4 linked regions of the Schizosaccharomyces pombe genome follow. The gene in region 3 interacts genetically with the main gene of each other region. Each region holds a gene or a part of one and is shown on either strand. Other genes may lie near its edges.

Region 1 (5,724 bases), 3.0 Mb from region 3:
GAGTTCGTTAAAAAAATGAAAAATTTAAATGGGTTGGATATTCTAGCAGTCGATTATTGGCTTTCTTTTCTTTTCTTCCTTTAAATATTATTATTATTAATACTCTTTAATCAATTGCCTCTCTTTTTCTAGAGTTTCCTTTTTTTCTGGCTTACTTTTTCGCATTCTGCCAAGGTGCCCTATTAAACAAAAGGTAATCAATAGTACCCTTCTAATGCAAGAAAAAAGTCTCCAATTCGCTTTTCCCCCTTTGCAATATCAGTAAGCAAATAACTCCATCCAAGCTCATTAGATGGGATAGCACATACACACATGCTACAAACCTTCAATTTTACCCGTTTACCCGACTTTCCAGCAGCACATAGAAGATGGACAAGGGGCATGGCAAATGTGCATGCATATGGCAAACAAATATGTGCAAAATGACATTATTAAACGATCATAGCAGTTCGAAATGGACTTGGTAAAACAGTCAACTCTTGGCTGTTAAGGAGGAATAGTAAGTTATCAGTTTAAGCCACAGTATGTATGGTATGGGAAAAAACATCGGAAATTTGGATAGAAAAAGTATTATGAGTGAGATGAAAAAACTCTTAGAGGAAGTGTTTTGAGTCGGAATATTTATGATAAGTATTGATGTTGAACAGTTTTTCATTTAAATTTTTATTATAATTATTATTAAATTTTTTTTTTTAATTTTTTTTTTTTTTTTATTTACTTTATGTCAGAGTTATGCTTACTTGATGGATTATTGTGTCTAAACTTACAAAATTAATAATTTTATATTAAATTTGAATTTTCTCTTTAATTTACGTCCACTAAATTTAATAATTAAATGAAATAGAATAGAATTGTATATTTCATAATTTTTCGTCATTGCATATCATTTTTTTATTTTTTATTTTATTTTATTTTTTTCTTTATTCTTTTTGATTTATTTTATTTGCTTTTACTCAATGTTGATTTTCTTTTTAATTTATTAATGTTTTCAATTTATCCTCCTTTTATTTGCAAGGTATCTTTTTTTTTTAATACCATACAACACCGTTGCGTATAGAAAACCTTGTGTACATTCATTTTATTCAATTATTCACCCATCATCCACATTTATAACCTTCGAATAAGCTTACGATAGAGTTTGTTTTAGATTTCTGTACTTGTTACTAATCTATGTAAGTTTTCTATGAATAAACCAATTTATATTTTAGCAAATCTATTTTTGTAGAGCGATGCTTTCTCTCGTTTACCCAGGTTTCCCCAAATAGTCAAGTGAGCTTAAAGAGACGACGATCTACATGAAACTAGAAAACAACAAATGAACGTGACAATAAGATTAAATCATAAATAAAAACAATGTTATTTCTGGAAATTAAACGAAAAATCATCACATTTAGGCAATATGCAGAAGATTTTGTCAGATCACTGGATTTAAGTCGTAAATTTTGTTCCTTTCTTCTTTAGTCAATCTTCCTATCTAGTGCGGGTTTTCTTATTAGTCTATGTAAATTCAGAAAAGCAGTATAAAATTTTTAGACGCTCTCTCATCAAGTATATAAAATGGAACACATCAGTTACTCGCAGGAATGGAAAAAAATTCGCTAATAAATCTCCCAAATTCGTTTACTGTTTCACCATAGACTTTTTAAGGACTGAAGAAAATAATCTCTTTGTTTTTCTCTTTTTCCTTTCCTTTCCTTTTTTTTTTTTTTTTTTTTTCTTTAAGATAGTACTCACATAGGGAAATCTCAAGCCATTCAAGCATTCGGATAAATCCGGTACGGTAATATTTTATCCAACATTGCAATATGGTCAGGAAGGTTAAAAAAGTTATTTTTAAAATCAGTCAGGATTAAACGGCTGCTTGCCTACCATCTGTTCTGTTTGAAGCCGAAAAATTTCGGAGTTTTCTATGAAGATGTAATTTTATTTTATCCCTATAAACACACTGGCTGGGTACACGGATCGAGAGACTTGAGAATTTTTTATTGCGAAGTATAAAAAGCTTTCAACCTGCTTAGTTAGTTTTGGTTTTTTATGTTCGAGTAATTTTAGCCGATTTGGGAACTTCTGGATCAAAAGTGCAAAAGCTTTATTTATGTATATTGTGTTTTACGATTGATTGATACAGAGATTCGCGGAACATGAGCCTGTTTCCCCAAATTCTACTAAGGCTTCTCTTTCTTGCATTTACACTAAAATCGACTTCTAATGCAGAGAAGCATGACAAGGTAGATTATAAGGATTTTGTGCGCCGGGACGATGGCGACACATGTCTGCGATATACTACTATTTATTCGCAAGGCGAGTACGAAACAACAATTACCATTCCCCCCAACTCTTATAGTAATGGCGTAAGCCTATCCAACGGGACATTGTTAAGTACTTCTTCGCCTTTGATATCAACAAGTGGTCAATTTACTTCTAATAATGTTTCAACAACCTCTTCTCAGCGACATAATACGAAGACAATTACATTCTTCAGTGGAACTTCTGATTATACGTCTGTCTATTATGATACTACAGGGACCGATGATGTTGTGTACGAGTATCATCCATCGTCAGAGAGGCATAAATCAACTAACGATACCTGGTCAACCAATTTGCCTACAAATCCGACGACAACTGCTATTTACTCAACATCAGGATCGTCAAATATTACAACGCCGTATTCCAATCGCATCACCAATTCAAATACCAGCGTTAATGATATTACATCAAAATATCTATCGGTAGGGACAATCACCTTAACTACGATTTCTGGATCTGACTTGTATACTTCCACATTTCCTGCCAATGGAACTACTAGTGGTACAGTTGAAGTTGTGATACCCACTGCTGGAACAGTTACTGAAACAGCCGTTTCTGGATCTGAATTGTATACTTCCACATTCCCCGCCAATGGAACTACTAGTGGTACTGTTGAGGTAGTAATCCCTACTGCCGGAACCCGTACTGTTACTAAAATTTCCGGTTCAAAGTTCTTTACCACTACTACGGATGCTAGTGGCACTGTGAGTGGAACTGTAGAGGTTGTTTTGCCTACCGCTGGTACGAACACTATGACTGTAGTGTCTGGTTCAAGGTTTTTTACTAGTGTAGTTTCTGCTAGTGGAACAGTCAGCGGTGAACAGGTTATTGTTTACCCTACTGCTGGTATGGTGACTGAAACCATTGTTTCAGGATCTGAAATATTTAATACTACGTATCCTGCTAGTGGAACAAGGACGGGCACAGTTGAAGTTGTGATACCCACTGCTGGTACTGTCACTGAAACCGAGATTTCTGGTTCTGAATTGTATACTTCCACATTCCCTGCCAATGGAACTACTAGTGGTACTGTTGAGGTAGTAATCCCTACTGCCGGAACCCGTACTGTTACTAAAATTTCCGGTTCAAAGTTCTTTACCACTACTACGGATGCTAGTGGCACTGTGAGTGGAACTGTAGAGGTTGTTTTGCCTACCGCTGGTACGAACACTATGACTGTAGTGTCTGGTTCAAGGTTTTTTACTAGTGTAGTTTCTGCTAGTGGAACAGTCAGCGGTGAACATATCATTGTTGAACCTACTGCTGGTGTTGTTACTGAAACGGTTGTTTCTGGATCAGTTGGATATACTACTACATATCCGGCTCATGACACTGTTTCAGGAACGGTTGAGGTTGTTGAACCTACTGCTGGTGTTGTTACTGAAACGGTTGTTTCTGGATCGGTTGGATATACTACTGCATATCCCGCACATGACACTGTTTCAGGAACGGTTGAGGTTGTTGAACCTACTGCTGGTGTTGTTACTGAAACGGTTGTTTCTGGATCGGTTGGATATACTACTACATATCCCGCACATGACACTGTTTCAGGAACGGTTGAGGTTGTTGAACCTACTGCTGGTGTTGTTACTGAAACGGTTGTTTCTGGATCGGTTGGATATACTACTACATATCCCGCACATGACACTGTTTCAGGAACGGTTGAGGTTGTTGAACCTACTGCTGGTGTTGTTACTGAAACGGTTGTTTCTGGATCGGTTGGATATACTACTACATATCCCGCACATGACACTGTTTCAGGAACGGTTGAGGTTGTTGAACCTACTGCTGGTGTTGTTACTGAAACGGTTGTTTCTGGATCAGTTGGATATACTACTACATATCCGGCTCATGACACTGTTTCAGGAACGGTTGAGGTTGTTGAACCTACTGCTGGTGTTGTTACTGAAACGGTTGTTTCTGGATCGGTTGGATATACTACTACATATCCGGCTCATGACACTGTTTCAGGAACGGTTGAGGTTGTTGAACCTACTGCTGGCGTTGTTACTGAAACGGTTGTTTCTGGATCGGTTGGATATACTACTACATATCCGGCTCATGACACTGTTTCAGGAACGGTTGAGGTTGTTGAACCGACTGCTGGTGTTGTTACTGAAACGGTTGTTTCTGGATCAGTTGGATATACTACCACATATCCTGTACAGGGTACAGTATCGGGAACTGTAATGATCGTTGAACCTACTGCTGGGTATGTTACTGTTACAACTTCATTGGGCTCTAGTTCGTATGCTACTACCGTGGCTACAGCTTCGGGTACGTCTACTGGTACTGTATTACAAGTGGTACCTTCTTTATTCCCTGGCTGTAATAGCAAATGTACCAGCAGTAATGCATTCCGTATTCTTGTCGAAAACGATTCAATCTCTCCTTCTTACCTGACTTACCGGGAATCTGACGGATTTGGTATTGCTAGTTCGAACCCTTCGCCCGCCGGTTCTGAAGGAATTTTCTACTACGATAGTACTTTGAAGCGGGTTGTTACATGTTGTGATGAAAGACCTTATTACCGTACTATGGAGGGTGATCTTGCCAAAACTTACTTTTTCATTGAGGATGAAGGAGATGGAACTTACAAGTTTAAGCTTACTTACGGCGCATTTTCCGAATATTTAGATGTTAAAATTTTGGCTGACAGCACTTTCTTTTTCAAAGCCATGGATTCATCGTCATCTACTATTTTGAATCAAAAAGTTCGTGCATCAAATGTTTACTTTAAGGCTGTGCCTTTATAAGCTCGCGAGAATTCTCTATCGCGTACTGGTGTTTTGTGAGTTAAAAAATAAAAAATTCTACAGTCGTTAATTGTTGCTTTTATGAATAAACTTAGATGTTTTATTTAATAATTATTACTAATAATTAATATATATATATATATATATACTAAATCATTATCCTATTTTTTATATTATTTTGTTACCGATGATTCCAGTAGCATTCTTTAGCATTTGCAAAGCTCTTCATAAGAAACCATAGTTTATCGATAATTATAACTTCACGTATAAGACATTACTCCTTATAATTTAGATTTAAAGGCAGCCATAGAACACTGGCAAGGTTTTGCTAAATTAAACTCTTAAAAAAATTGGATTTCGCAGACCTTGAAATTAGTAGTAAACAAGGCGGCATGTTTCGTTCTTCTTTAGTTGACTCAGAGCTGCTTTTCAAATTGATTATAAAAATTAAGCTGGATGCTTCTGTAAATAAAAGAACAATCGTAAAATTTTGCTCTCTATGGATAAAATGTAGATTTGTTAGGAAGCATTTGTTCTTTTTTTTTATTTACTGGCTCAACTAACATGATCGGAGCTTTGGCAAATTGCAGAGAAAAGGATTTCTACAATGTTGATTTATTCTTCAGATTTCTGATTAATGATAGTAGTTACTGATGTTTTT
Region 2 (3,656 bases), on a different chromosome or scaffold from region 3:
TTTTCGATAGTTTGTGAAATAAAATGCAGAAGTACTCAGTAGTCTGTTACAGAATTTATGTTTTTGGTGTTATTTGAAGACAAAACCTTAATGGATTCGTTTTATACCTGTAAATATACTATCCAATTCTATCAAACGTACTTAAAAACAAATACCGATTCATAGAATTTGTTACGATGAAATATTTCTAATAATAGTATACTAATTGCAAATAATTTACCAGGTCCAAAGTCATTGATCTGGACTATATTGACATTCCAAATATTAATAGTATGTCTTAGCGTATATAAAAATTAAGAAGACTTCAACGCTAAGTATGGATTCAGCTCTTTATTTTGTTATAAAAAAATAACTCAATGCTAAACAATAAAATAGCCGAGCAGTTTTCAATTAAGAATTGTCTAGCGAAATTTCATTAAACAACCTAAATCATATGGAGTTTTTTTCTTTTTTGATATTTGGCTCAGGCAAAGAAGAAAAGTTAAGAGTGGTATTTCTTAATAAATTAATGTCTCAAAAAAGGAATAAATTTTTTTTTTAAAATGCTAAATTTTAAACGTCCTCAGTTGCATAGATGAACTTTAAATGATAAGCGAACGAAATGCAATCGATAAATCATTGTCTCTTAGTAAAGTGTTCGGTTAAAATGACTGACATTTCGTCCGAAATAATATCAGTGTAAATATCATGGGAAAATTTCGTGTATTTCTTTATTTGGAATGCGCAGCAAAGTATCAAGAGAATAATTAGTGTTTTATATGATTTAATTTTATTGCCGGTACAATTGTATGGTTGTTCTGATAAATATACATGCTTTGTCGGTTTATCACTCTGAATAAATTTGTGATATATATTGGTTTATTTATTCAATCTATGTATCATGTAGTTGATGCTTTCATTTTTTTCATAATTTTAAAAATATCAGTTAATCATTTATTCAGCAACTGTAACGTTAAATCATTAATATATATATCTATATCGGCATGCATTAAGTTGCTACCGTTAAACATCTTAATTAAAACTAGTCTTTTATAATAACTAACTCTTTAATTTTTTGAAATTAGTTCAATTTACTGTGGAGGGCAGTCGATTGATAAAAGCTTTTCGATTCACTTGTAGCTTTAATCGGTGCTCGTTGCATCAATATTGGTTTATATAAGCCAAAGCTTTCATGGCTATTAATGAGTGATGCCGGTTTAACTACTCTAAAATGTTTTGAAAATGATAGGTATGTTTTGATTTGCTTCATCTTTTTATTTCAGTATTAACAACCTAGTAATTAAAATGTTAACAAAAAAATTTGACTACCTTTTCGAATCACATGTTTTCAGTGCTAAGTTGCCTCCAGACTGTCTGCAGTGAGTATAGGTGTTTTATAAGAAATTTGCTACATAGTATCAAATCAATAATATGAATGTAGTTTTATCAAAAAAATATTCATTAAGGCGACTGTACTGAAAGAGAAGTAGGTTAATAATAGACTCTTAAGAAAATTAACGAGAGGCGTCAATTTCTGTTGCTAGCATATATTGCGAACTCGATCGGTATGTGAATTACTACGAAAACATGCGAGCCGCGTTAACAAATGTGCATTGCCTTGTCTTAAAGTAACTAAGTTTCTCAGAAGCAGTATAAATAGTAGACTACATTAATTTCGAAGTTCCGATAATGATCTTTTTATAGAACTCAAATTTTTTAATTTGATATTGAGAATTCGAATAAAAATAACTATGGGATTAACAATAAGGGGGTTTCCGAAATTTTGGGTACTGGTTTTATATGCGCAGTTTTTGTATAAATGAACAGGCCTTCTCACACGTCTTTTCGGTTCATATTTAGCGATCAGAAGTCGTTAAAAATTTTTCTCCTATAAACAATGAATGTGGTGAAGTACATAATTTTTAGCTTTGCTCTGGCGCCTTTGTTATTAGTTAACGCGAACACATATAATTTTACACAGATACAAAAGCGAAGCGTAAACCAAGCTGTTCTTGAATCAAGTCAAGATACCAATTCAGTAGGCGGTGAAGCTTCTTCAACAGCTTGCCCTTTATTCACTACTATTTACACTAATGGTATAACACCGGGAACTACAACGATTTATCCAACATCTATCTCGACATCTGGCGTATCTAGCAACAATATCGATGAAACTTCGGTATCCTCTGAGTCTATCATCACATCCACTATTACGACTACTATAACATCTGGTTCGCAACTCTATACTACTACCATTACCGGTCAAAACACACCTGTTGATACCGTTGAAGTGGTAATCCCTACTGCTGGTACTTTCACAACTACATTGACTTCTGGATCCAGTTATCCTGTCGCAACAACTACAGTGCGAACAGCTTCTGGAACACAGTCAGGTGAAGTGGAGGTTATCACACCGTCCTGTGGATGCAGTCCTGAAAATTCATTCCATCTTAAAATAGACAATGATAAAATCAGCCCTTCCTACGTGTACATGGATCCAAACGCACCCGTGAGAACTAATGGTGCCGGTCGAGAGGGGAATATGTTTGCTTCAACTAATGGAGACAACGAGGGACTAAACCTTTTCTACTATGATTCCACTATTCAACGAGTATTAACATGTGATTGTCAAAGACCGTCTTACACTGTATACATTGAAGATCCAATTATAGGCAATGGTTTTTCAAGTGCTTGGAATCTCATTAAAAATAGCGATGGCATATTTACTCCTGTTGAATCAAGAAATAATGAGCCACTACACTTTCATGTAGATAACAATGGAAGAGTATGGATGACTTCACAAGAATATGATACAGAAGTTTCATCAACCGACGAAAGAAATTTTAGGGCCAATGATGTTACACTTCAACTGTATTAGTTGAAGCAGCAAATTTAGAATTGCACATACTCTCGTTTAATTTTTTGTATTTCAGGTCATACATATAATTTTTTTTACATTCATTTGATATAATATTTTAAAATTACAATCCATGAAATCCTTTATCAATCCCTATTGAAGATGTCAAGAAGTTGACTTCCTCGGATTTCATATTTTTCTCAAGTTCTGCTGTAAACTGAAAATAGGGATATTTAAATAGTTCTTAATTATTTTTTCCACTAGAAATTGATTGCTCTACTAATAAAATACTGTTCCAAGTTATCGGCACAATTATTACTTTCGTAAACAAAATTTGTATTTTATTTATTTTTTTTTTTTTTAAATTAATCATAACTAGTGGTATTAGGAATGCATATTTTAATCTAAGTTCAAATTAATTGCTTTCATAGTAATCATTGATATTTGTTAAATAACTAGGTTTAGGTAAACCGTACTAAAATTGAACAGGAAAGGATAAATTTTAGTAAATTTTGTAGATTATGCTTTTCGTAAAAAATAGTGGTGGCCGGTTTTAAAGATAAGTTTGGATAAACTGGTTATAATTTCCTTAAGTGAAATTTAATCACTTAAAAAAATATTAGATCTAAATAGTAACTATAGACAAGTTTTGTATAAGGAAAATGACAATTAAAGATAAGGAGCTAGACTAGTCTAGCGCTTGTTTTGAGTTTAATATTAGACCATTCAGAATTTTTTTACTCATTATTACTAAAAAAGAAAACTTAAGCAAGAATTTAAATTGTGGAAAGTCTCTTTTACTTATTAATAATTGTAAGCA
Region 3 (4,445 bases):
GTCGCAACAGACGTTTTAATTGGATAATGCGAGGTTTTATTCCCAAAATACAAACAGACTTGTCTGTCATAAAATAAGTTAAAATGATTTGTCAAATAGAGGATCAATTCTCAAATATTTGCCAAATCAGTCTCTAATTTATTTGAAGTGAGAAACTTGATTGCCTATGTCAGCATCCCACGATGGTCATTTTTGATACAGCGACTGAGTTTTATGCGGTTGATTCATGTTCCATCGTTTGCATAACATTGGTAATCTTTTATATCTTCTTCATCTTCTTATACTAAAGAATTTCATTTATTTGTTTGGATGTCCTAAGCCACGTATATAATAATATGTTACAGAAACTCAGGTTTCTGTTAACATAATTTCGCATGAAGCCAAATTCCTATTCCACCTTCTTTGAAGAGTGCTACCATGCTCATTCCGCCATATAAAATTAGCTGCTGCATTACTCCCCTGCATCTTACCTTTGAAGCTGGACGGTTATCGCTACGCTACACTTACACACCGACATACTAACAAACACTTAAACATTACTCTGTAAAACTACACGGAAAGTTCGAATTTCTCATGTTATTGTTGAAAACTGTAATTAGGGGTTTGAAAAAGGTTCTGTGAATCGTCAAACGTTCTTGATTAAAAAGGAGAAACCGTGAAAAATCTAGCAAAAAATCGAGTCAAACACACGAAAATAAACCATGTATAACCTTGAAAACGAATGAGAAACGTCTAATTAGAAATTAGCGGCTCCAAAAAAAAATTTGAATGCGAACATAAAGGTTGGTCCGCGAATGTTACATGTTGGTGAATTAATTAATGAAGTGGAAGGAGGTGGTTAAAACAAAATCACGAAAAAACTTAGTCCACTTGAATAGACAAAATGCGTGCCTGAATAAATAAGTGATAAACTGCCCGCAGTTTGCAAATAAATATTTAAACCGAAAATCACCATCTTGAATTCATAACAGGGAGGATCCAAAATACCGAAGATGGAAGTTAACAAAGTTAAACCATTGGCACATCTGAAATGTTCAGGTATTTGTATTTGCTAGCGTCTGAAATCATGCTAGGTTTGTAGTTCACATTGAATCCATAAGCTATCGGTAGGTGTCCATTTTATTGAACAACATTCCAAACTTCAATTATTGCTAGGTCAGTAATTTCGTTCGCGTAATTCAACTATAACGATAAATTGATAGACCTAGTATTAACAATTGTTTACTGGAATGCGATGTAAGTCAAATTAAAAAAATGGGCATCGCACAGCTTGGCAGTAAACTATTGGTGCTTGGATTGCTCCAAATCATATGCAGTTTGAGTAAGAAAACGATTGTAAGGATTTGATCGAGATGTATGCCAACTAAAATTATTACTTGTATACGATTCATTAGATCCAGGGAGGACACATGATGAAGACATTTGAAAGGGAGATTGACTTCTATGATATTCTTTAGTATTTGACATCACTGAGTGAATGTGGACTAATGGAAGCTACGTCTTGGAAGGATGATTCAGCTTCTTGATTCGTTAAGGAAGGAGAGCGATCATATGCCAAAAATGGAGTATTCGCAATGGTATGTTGAGAAGTCTCACAACTGCTACCCGAATACGCAGTAGGCGGAATAGGTGAGCCTTGTTTAACATCAAACATCTCAGGCGTTAGCTGTGGATTTGGATGTTCATAGAGAAAAGGAGGGCAAGCCGGGTTACCAGGAGAGACATTTTTTAAGGTGTATTGATTAGGTGAAGAAAGATAACTTGCTGGAGGCATAAGGACCTTCTGATCATAGGTGGACTGGTCTTGTTGCAGTACATGAGTACCCAGATAAGTTGGAACTTGTTTCAAAGAAGGAGACGTAGCTCTTTGTGGATAGTAGTAAGGAGCGAAGTGCGTTTGCCTACGATGACCAGGAAAGCCGTTATCACTAGGGTACGGAGAATGATGTTGCAATGGAACTGTAGCACCCGGAGACACAGGAGATTGGAAACAATAGGGCGGTGGATAGTTATTGTTATGAAAATGAGGATGAGGTGGATGATGAGGAGGACGAGTATGGGGATGATGATGTTGTGTGGGAGGAAATGGAGGACAAGAACGAACGTGATTAGACGATAAAGGCTCGGGACGACAGTAAGACTGAACTTGAGGATTATAGTCCTGAACAGTCGTTTCCGATGTTGCAGGAGAATCACCAGTGTCGAGTTGGGAGTCTGATAAAGGTTGGTCCTGTGACTTCAAATGCTTATTATTAAGAGGAGTAAATGAACCAGTTGTCGTTTCTGGAGACACGGTACTTGACTCTTCGACAGGCGATGACGAAAAATGAGAACGGTTTTTTAACTCATATATGCTGAGAGTGTTGAGTTGTTGAAGAGTACGTTGATAGTCAGAGGAACAAAAGACGTGCAAACGTCCTTTCCGATCAATGACTGTGACGGCGACTTCACAATCGGCTAGCACAGCGAGTTCATACGCCTTTTTGTAGAGACCTTGTTTTCGTTTGACAAAAGTTACGCTCCTTGAACGATCGTCGGTTATGGGTGCAATGGAGATTTTTTTGCGCCCCATATTAGACGTTGTATATATTTAGTAAGGTTTGACGAGAAAAGAGAAAAAGAGTCGACGAGGTTAACCAAAATTCAGGTATAGGGAGAATGACGAAAACAAACGAGCAAACGAGCGAGCAAACGGGCAAGTATATAAGGAACAAATAGAAAACAGCAGATGGGGTTTATTCTTGGAATTTATGTAACAGTTTTTATCCCTGTCTTCCCTTCTCTGCACCGGATCTCTTGAGGGTAGATTTTTCGCTTGAGAAAACAAGAGCGCAAAGTTCTCCAATTGTGCTCGTAATTGATAGTCGATTAGACGAATCTAAGTTGAGATTTAAAAACGAGGAAGCTATTTTTGTTTTTGTACTCTGGGTTGAAGCGGGCGACGAAACTAAAGATATTAATAGAAAAAATTTTTTTAGTAAACAAGATAGCCGGAACGGGTGGTTTTCAAGTGTTTACAAATGAGAGGAACAAAGACAAATTAAATGACTAGATGTTTTTGTGTGCTATTTTTAAAATAGAAAGAGGAAGAATCAACACTTTGGAGAAATTTTTGCCTTTGAAGCTATATTTTTAACAATTGTCCCCTCCTTTTCAATGTCAGGTTTAAAAATATCTTCTCGCCAAGTTTTATAAATAAATTAATCTGTCTCAACAACTTGAAATTATAAAATTAGGTATTTGTTTGTTGTCTGTGTGCGTTTATAAGTGCGTGTAAATACGTGTTTTTGTACATATATATGTGTATATATATACAGGGATAGCAATAACTAGGAAACCGCAACGTCTATTTAATGCAACCTTCGTAATACACACTGCGTTCTAACTTAGACAAGTATCGACGCCAGCATCGTAACATACCATTGTACATATTTATGCAAAAGAAAATAAATTCCAATAGTGAACGAAAAAAATTTTCTCTTTCCCTCCATAGGCAATTGTTAAGGGATAGGTTTTTCCTGCATAAGTACACCAAAATTAGGGGCTAAATGTCTTCCATTCACGTTTATCCGAAGATGCGTAGCACTTTGCCAACATTACCGATGAATTCTCAATATACAAACGCGTATAAGTGTACATTATGTTCCTCATGTAGACATTCTGAAAATTCACCGTTTCGGCTACTCGGGTAATTTAAACTATTTCTTCATCTCTCTTTTCGAAAAGGGGAGGTCACAAGGCCGAATACTTTTTCATGAAAAAGGTGGGATAGCCTCGATTAAATGAGCCCTAAGTAGGAAAATCCTTTAATTGGAGGAGGAAGATGGACATAATGGAAAGAAGGTTAGAAGGTACCTTTTGAGTATGGTTAAAGTCCACTTGGATTGCAAACCTGACTTTGCAGTAATAGTAGAAAAAAATAGAAAGAAAGCGGGATTAGCAATTATTAGGAAAGAATCATAGTAATCCCATGCACCTAATCCAAGGTTTTGGAAAGGGGATTTTATTTTTAGACGCGATAGTCAGGCAAAGCGTATGGGCCAGCCAAAATACTTGGCAAGGCTAAAGAAAGAATCGAAGAGATAGAAAGATACGAAAATTCGGAATGCGCTGATGATCGCGTTTAGGGATTTTCGTATGTAATCCTTCACTTTTCAACCAGTCAGTCAATTGGAAACGCTGACCCTATTACTGATGCAGTGTACGATACTCAATTCAAAGGGGAAAGGGGGAGGAGGGCGTGAAGGAACAATATTACGAGTGTTGTCTCCGCTCCTTGACTATACTTAGACACACAAGTCCGAAAATAGACTCGCTCTGATTTTGCTTTTCGTAACTTGCTCTATTAATAAATGTATCCGGTAAGAATGGGGTACAATACGAATACAGTACATTGGGAAAAAATAACCAGAGAGGTAGCTTATGAGTAATTTGATTTCGCAATG
Region 4 (6,656 bases), on a different chromosome or scaffold from region 3:
GTTACTATGTATAGCAAGATTAATTAACATGTTATTGTTATTTGTTATTATGTTTTTAATACTATGTATTTATAGCATCTGTAATGTCTGCGTTTTTCAACTGCCAAAGAGCGCATTTTCTACAAGTTTCGGTTAATGTTGCAAATAACCGATTAGACTTTCATGTCATGACACTTGATTTCACTTGTGCTGACGCTTTTTTATGAACGGCATATCGCTGTTCAGCTGCTTTACCGACATGTAATGGCCAAATCTCGAGCTTGACACTTTGTAAAAAGTCTCAATAATAATTCCCCATCCACAACTGACATACATAATTGATAGTACTTACTAGCCTTTACCCTTGCCAGCCAGACAGCTTCCACTGTACTGAGGTCAGGGATCATGACATAGACTGATTGCAAATTACGAACAAGACCGTCAATCTGCACTTTAGCATCTCCTAAAATAATAATCGTTAAAGCCGACTAGCTATTAGGGATGACGGGAGGAGCAAAAAAATAGCCTGAAAAAAGAAAAAGAAAAGAAAGCGTATTTAAAGAAAGGTTAAAATTTTCTTTGTTCTTTCAATAAGTAAGCAGTTTACTCCTGGTCCAGAAGTGCGACGGACCTTGCGTGCCGGTAAGGAAGTTGCAAAAAAAAAAAAAAAGGAAAAAAAGAACCGAGATAAAGTTGACTTTCAACTTCCGTCTGCAGTAACCGGATTTCCCAAAAATTTCAACGGGTAATTCAATTATGCAAGGGGATTGTCATTCTTTTTTTTACATTTTTGAGTTTCACGACACATTAGTCCCTTAATTGCAGCTACAACCATGCCTTGTTGCCTATTTTTTTCCTTTGCTTAATTACAATTTCTCACCCCATTTGAAGTCATGTTGATTGAATTTTTCACATCCCGTTTTCAAGCTCTAACATCAGTCATTGTAGATGATTGATTGTAGAAAATTATATTTGTTTCCTTTTCGCGACCATTAAATGATTATTCAATAGTTGATGAATTATTGCCTTTGTTGTTTTGTTACTCATCATGGCAATTTTATCGTATTATTTGTTACATAGATTATTGTCATCCACTAAATTTTTTGATGGCCAAGCGTCGCTGTTTGGACGAAATATTCGATTACCGAGGACGGATGGCCATAATCAAGACTAGTTTGGTAAGAGAATTTGGCAGATGGGCTGGACGACATTTGTTGAAAGTGTGAGAAACGCTTCTGAAAAGGCATGTTTTCTATATTTCATTTCTATTCTGGTAAAGAATTGTGCGGAATACTATACCATGGACAAATGGGGCGGGCGACAAGGCAGCTACAGTATAAGCGGGCATATAGCATTCATTGTATAATACAGTATATAGTACATGGTAGGTAGAGTTGGATAGAGATGGTGAGAATGACAGTTGCATTATTTATGCGTAAAACTATATGTAAATTTTATAACTATTTATGTAAACATGCGTTTATATATGTGTATGAGTGTGCATGCTTGTGTACATTTGTGTGTGTGTGTATGTGTGGTGTGTATTGATGTTTGAATGGTATGATGACAATGATAAGCCATTTCTTACGAAAACTCCTTAAGTGAATATGGTTGAGTTGAATGGAGCGGCATTTGAATGGTAAATGATTAGTGATCTAAATTAATGAAAATTCATTCAGCGCCTCTGCCTCTACGGCCATGGCGGTTTTCGTAGATCTCAGCCCTTCAGAGTAGCAAGCGTCTCTTACGCTATAGTTGGGTGACGGCTAGGTACGTTGCATACTGCGCACATGGTGTTGTGGAATGTGTATACTTTTTCATAGGAAGGAGGTGCCAAACGCAACGCGCCTGGATGGTGATTGTTGGGTTGTTCCCTCGTCCGGCCAATTTTTTCCAGCTATTTTATTTTAAGGATAGAATAACAATGATGTTGTTCCGGTCTCACAAACATGATTATCTCATGCAAATTTCACCTTTTCTAAGTGGCTTTACCAAAGAAAACGCAACTTATTATTATCCAAACTCTTGCTAATTCCTTTTTACTTTCTCCACATCCCTCGAATTGGCTTGAGGCTTTTTCTTTTATCCTTTCTATCCTCAATTACTAGTTTTCTTAGCAGTTGTATTATTAGGACATTGCTTTGTTGTTTTACCCCCCCCCCATTGGAATTACATTCTGTGGGATTGAAGGAAAGAAAAAGAAAATTGCTTATTAAGAGTCGTATATACTTCATTCTTCAATTTACTACACTCACTACTTGCTTTTCTCCATCTACGATCTACCATTTTGTTAGGTAGACTTTCGTACTACAGCTACATCGCTTGTCGTCGACTTTGTGTGCTTTTGAAAACTGCCCTGGTAATTGCCGATTCTTTTGGGGGTTATTTATACTTTTGTTTTATCCAAATTACTAATCCGCCTGATTTGGACATTGATCAATTTTGGTAGTAGCGCAATCGCACCCCCTCAAACACAAAAACCTCATCATTGTCTCATGGTACAATATTGCCTTGGAACATCATTACTTTAAAGCAATACGATTGATACAAAGGTTTCCGCTAGTTGTTGATTGAAGGTTTGGTGTTTATCGTTTTTTCGTGTTTGATTTGCCTTTACAGACCCTCCGTGTTCGGCATACTTATTCTCCGGTATTGTAGATATTTATTTCTCTCCGATACCTTTTTGCATTTGCTGTTTCTCTTTACTGTTGCACCCTACATTTGATTGAGAAAGGGGTTTAGTGGTTGTCGTCAATTGTCTTTATTCTGAGAAAACGGCTTTCTTCTCCCTGATATAAGAAACCATTTGGTTTGATAAATATATTTCAAGTTCACTTTCTCACTGTTTTCCGCTTCTTTGCTGATTTATCGTTTGATCGACGGCCTTGCAATTTTACAACGTCGAGAATTTTAACTTCTTTCTTCGTGATTGCATTCAAATTTTGAAACTCTTTCGAAGTAGGTGTACCAGTTAACTTGATTGCTCATTCTTCCTCCCATTCTCTGCTTCTTGATGAACTAGCTGTTCTGGTCCAACACCAATTGTCGAATGCTTGTCAGTTCAGTTCTATTGCTTTAATTCGTCCATTTTTTATTTTTATTTTTTAAATTCCGCCTTTCTATTTTGTTCTTACCCTTCGACGAGTCGAAAAAAAAGGTTTTTTATTGCTTTTGTCGCTTGGTGACTTCGAACAAGGAAACTTTTCCCCTTATTATTGTTTGAGAAACACTTATTTTCGGTGGTTGGTATCTCTTTTCATCATTTTTGCTTCTGGTTTTGCATAATTCTAAAAGATACTTATCCCTTTTTTCAGGTTTCGACGTCTTCTACCTCTTCACTTTACCAATTTGCTCGCATGACTTAGACGGAATCTTTTTATTGTAAAATGCATTCCTTAAAACGTCGTAGAAATCATGCGCCTGATTGGCAGGACTTTTATAAAAATGGTGTTCCACAAGAAGTCATTGTTATAGAGGACTCAGCTTCTCCACGGCTTACCCCTAATTTACCGCCTCCTTTTTCTGTTCATCAATTACAATCCTTCGTACCTCCGCAACCTCCCTCATCATCATCACCCTCTACCACTGGCACTGTGGCAGTCCCTATCAATGGTGCGAATGCTGTTTATCCATCAACTAACTCGGTATCTCTTCCTCAATCCTATGATCCATGGTTGGATGCTAATGGCGTCGTTCCATTACCGCATGATGTCGCCAGCCATCCTTCATATATGGTTCAGTCTCCTACATCGTATCATGCGTGTTCAAATAATCAATCGCCATTTCCCCATTCACATCATCCTCCCCTTCATAATCCACTACCTGTTTCATGTCAACCTGTTTTACGGCCGCCTCCTGTCCCTCAAGTTCCTTCACACTGGTACCCGGTTTCGCTTCCCTCTCCTAATTTACCTCACCAACCAATTTCTAAACCTCCAGTGATCCCTAATTTACCAAAGCTCCAAGTCCATCCGAACAGGCTTCCACATCCCATCCATAATCATCCTTACTCGTCTCCAACCTCTTATCCTCCCCCACTATGTCCTGCAACGTATTGTCCTTCTAACCCTCCTCAGCTAGCTCCGGCTACTGCTATCGCTCCTTCCTCGCAATCGTCTCAACATAAAAGTGTAAATTATTCCGTCACCCCAAGTTCCATTAACAATCATACCGCTGTACCATTATCTCCAACGCTGGCCGTATGGCTTCCGATGACTCAACCAACTTTCCAACCTCCTTCTGCAAACGTTTATCAACCGGCTTCTAATGCCAATCAAGTTATCACTCCTGTATCTATTTCCGATTATCGACCTCCGAAGAAAAGGAAGCGAGCTGCATGGCCCCCATATAAAAAAGTCGACCGCGTAAATGTTCCTGTTGTGCATGATACTACCGCTTTTGATCCATCAACTTTTGATGATGATGACGGTCATTACAAGGTTGTACCTAACTCCAAATTTGCCAACCGTTATACAGTTGTTCGTTTGCTTGGGCACGGTACTTTTGGCAAAGTTATCCAGTGTTACGATCAAAGTACAGGTAGACATTGTGCTATCAAGGTGACTCGAGCAATTCCAAAGTACAGAGAAGCTAGTCTCATTGAATTAAGAGTTTTACAAACTATAGCTCATAGTGATCCGACAAATGAAAATAAGTGCATTCAGTTACGCGATTATTTCGATTACCGCAAGCACATCTGCATTGTGACTGATCTTTTTGGCTGGAGTGTCTTTGATTTTTTAAAGAATAACAACTACATTCCTTTCCCTTTGAAGCATATTCAGATGCTATCCCAACAACTTTTTAAAAGTGTTGCGTTTCTTCACTCTTTGGGACTAGTACATACCGATCTTAAACCCGAAAATGTTCTTCTGGTATCTAATGCCTCAAGAACTATTCGATTACCTTATCGGAATTATTCACAGAAAGTCCTTAATAGTTGTGAAATCCGGCTTATCGACTTTGGTAGTGCAACATTTGAAGATGAATACCATTCCAGTGTAGTGAGTACTCGTCATTATCGTGCTCCAGAGATTATTTTAGGGTTGGGTTGGTCTTATCCTTGCGATGTTTGGAGTATTGGATGTATTTTAGTTGAGTTATTCACGGGACAAGCCTTGTTTCAAACCCATGAAGATAGTGAGCATCTGTGCATGATGGAAAAAATCCTGGGTCCCTTTGATAGGAATATGATTTCGCGTTCCTCTCGTACATCGCAACGTTTTTTTAAATCTGACGGAAAAGTCCGTTATCCTTTGTCAAATACGCCTAAAAAAAGCATTAATTATCTTCAATCTCTGCAAACGCTAGAGCAAATATTTGCAGTATCATCTCCAGAAGTGGCTTTGCTGCTTGATTTATTGAAAAAAGTATTCGTTTACGATCCTAAGCGGCGAATAACTGCAAAAGAGGCCCTTTGGCATCCCTTTTTCACCCAACCAATTTCTTCAAATTTGTGATGGATAAACTTAGAGATTTATAATTTACTTCATGTTTTTCAATAATTTTCACTCTTTCTAATTTACAAATCTACGGAAGTCTCGTATTTCTGGTTTGTGTTACGCTTTAGCTGATGTTTATTCGTTTGTTATTATTCAGTTTCTTAGACGAAAACTCGCATGTTCTACAATTACTTTAATTGCATAGAGTACTTGGTTATCCGATATAAATTAAAACTCAAAATTGTCCTCTTTTTAGATTATTCCATAAAGGTTTGATTAAGTCGTCAATTACACTCGTAAATTTTGGTCCTTGGGTTAAATAGTAGTTACTCAGTGAAATAAAAGAAAAAAAGATCATTAATGGTTTTCAGGACTATTTTAATAGATACGGATTACCTTGACAATTTTTTTGAAGTCTGAAGTATTTTGTTATGAACATAATTGTATAATGAAGAAAAGGTTTGCCCATTTCATTAAACAACAGAGATCACTTGCCTGAGACCCAATTTATATAATATGAGACAATAGCTCAAGTAGTTAGAACTTTAAAGGATCCGACTCCTCTTTTAAATTTTCCTCATTAAATAGATAAGCCAGAGGCTTTCCAAAATAACGAAACAATGAGATATCCGATATTTTAAGAGTCATTCCATCAAACGCCAAAGCTATATGTAAGTCTTCTGTCGAAATATCAATGTCTGGTAATTTGGGATATCGTTGGCTAAAATGAGTCAAAATAACGTTTTTTGTACCAGCTTTTTTGGCCACTTCTAAAGCTTCAGAGTAAGTACTGTGTTGCTTTTTTATTGCAATTTCGTGCATAGAGTCTTCCAAAGTAGCTTCGTGAATTAATAAAGTTGAGTCTTTGGCAATGTTAGCAAAATCCTCAGAAGGTCGAGTATCTCCAGAGTATGCGATCTTCCAACCACTGGAATTAGTAATCTCCATGCAATATGAATACGGGCAGTGTATGGCAGGAACCGTTCGAAAAGATACTAAATCAAATTCTTTAAATAAAGAAGACAACCTAGAGGATTCCAAAGCAGACGGCTTCCTGTCAGTACGTAAAGCACTATTGGAAATAAATACGATGTTGGATAATGGTAGATAATCAATCCTTGAGTATTCTAGTAGCCAAAATTCAAATTGTGGAGGTGCTGTTATAAACAACTTTGATCTGCCATCTGAGTACTTCGTCCAAGCCTTTAAAACCCCTATAACACCAGCATGATGGTC

The links.
Region 1: of mbx2 (region 3) and pfl3, changing one suppresses a phenotype caused by changing the other (phenotypic suppression), as found in Schizosaccharomyces pombe (one study listed by BioGRID).
Region 2: of mbx2 (region 3) and pfl9, changing one suppresses a phenotype caused by changing the other (phenotypic suppression), as found in Schizosaccharomyces pombe (one study listed by BioGRID).
Region 4: of mbx2 (region 3) and lkh1, changing one suppresses a phenotype caused by changing the other (phenotypic suppression), as found in Schizosaccharomyces pombe (one study listed by BioGRID).

Annotation. Positions count from the first base shown.
Region 1 is NC_003423.3:669,079-674,802, reverse strand, and holds pfl3 (DIPSY family glycoprotein), read left to right. Parts: upstream 1-1,967; 5' UTR 1,968-2,141; coding exon 2,142-5,063; 3' UTR 5,064-5,222; downstream 5,223-5,724. UniProt on the Schizosaccharomyces pombe protein: May be involved in agglutination during conjugation or other aspects of colony formation. Induces flocculation when overexpressed.
Region 2 is NC_003424.3:5,525,816-5,529,471, forward strand, and holds pfl9 (DIPSY family glycoprotein), read left to right. Parts: upstream 1-1,876; coding exon 1,877-2,857; 3' UTR 2,858-3,144; downstream 3,145-3,656. UniProt on the Schizosaccharomyces pombe protein: May be involved in agglutination during conjugation or other aspects of colony formation. Induces flocculation when overexpressed.
Region 3 is NC_003423.3:3,624,766-3,629,210, reverse strand, and holds mbx2 (MADS-box transcription factor), read right to left. Parts: upstream 2,573-4,445; coding exon 1,454-2,572; 3' UTR 553-1,453; downstream 1-552. UniProt on the Schizosaccharomyces pombe protein: Acts in transcription regulation. May bind to a MEF2-like typee II promoter sequence.
Region 4 is NC_003424.3:655,542-662,197, reverse strand, and holds lkh1 (dual-specificity), read left to right. Parts: upstream 1-2,020; 5' UTR 2,021-3,365; coding exon 3,366-5,438; 3' UTR 5,439-5,957; downstream 5,958-6,656. Other genes in the region: 3' tRNA-processing endonuclease tRNAse Z L2 Trz1, read right to left, coding at 5,958-6,656. UniProt on the Schizosaccharomyces pombe protein: Protein kinase that may act as a negative regulator of filamentous growth and flocculation. Appears to have a role in normal cell wall and septum formation and in cell separation.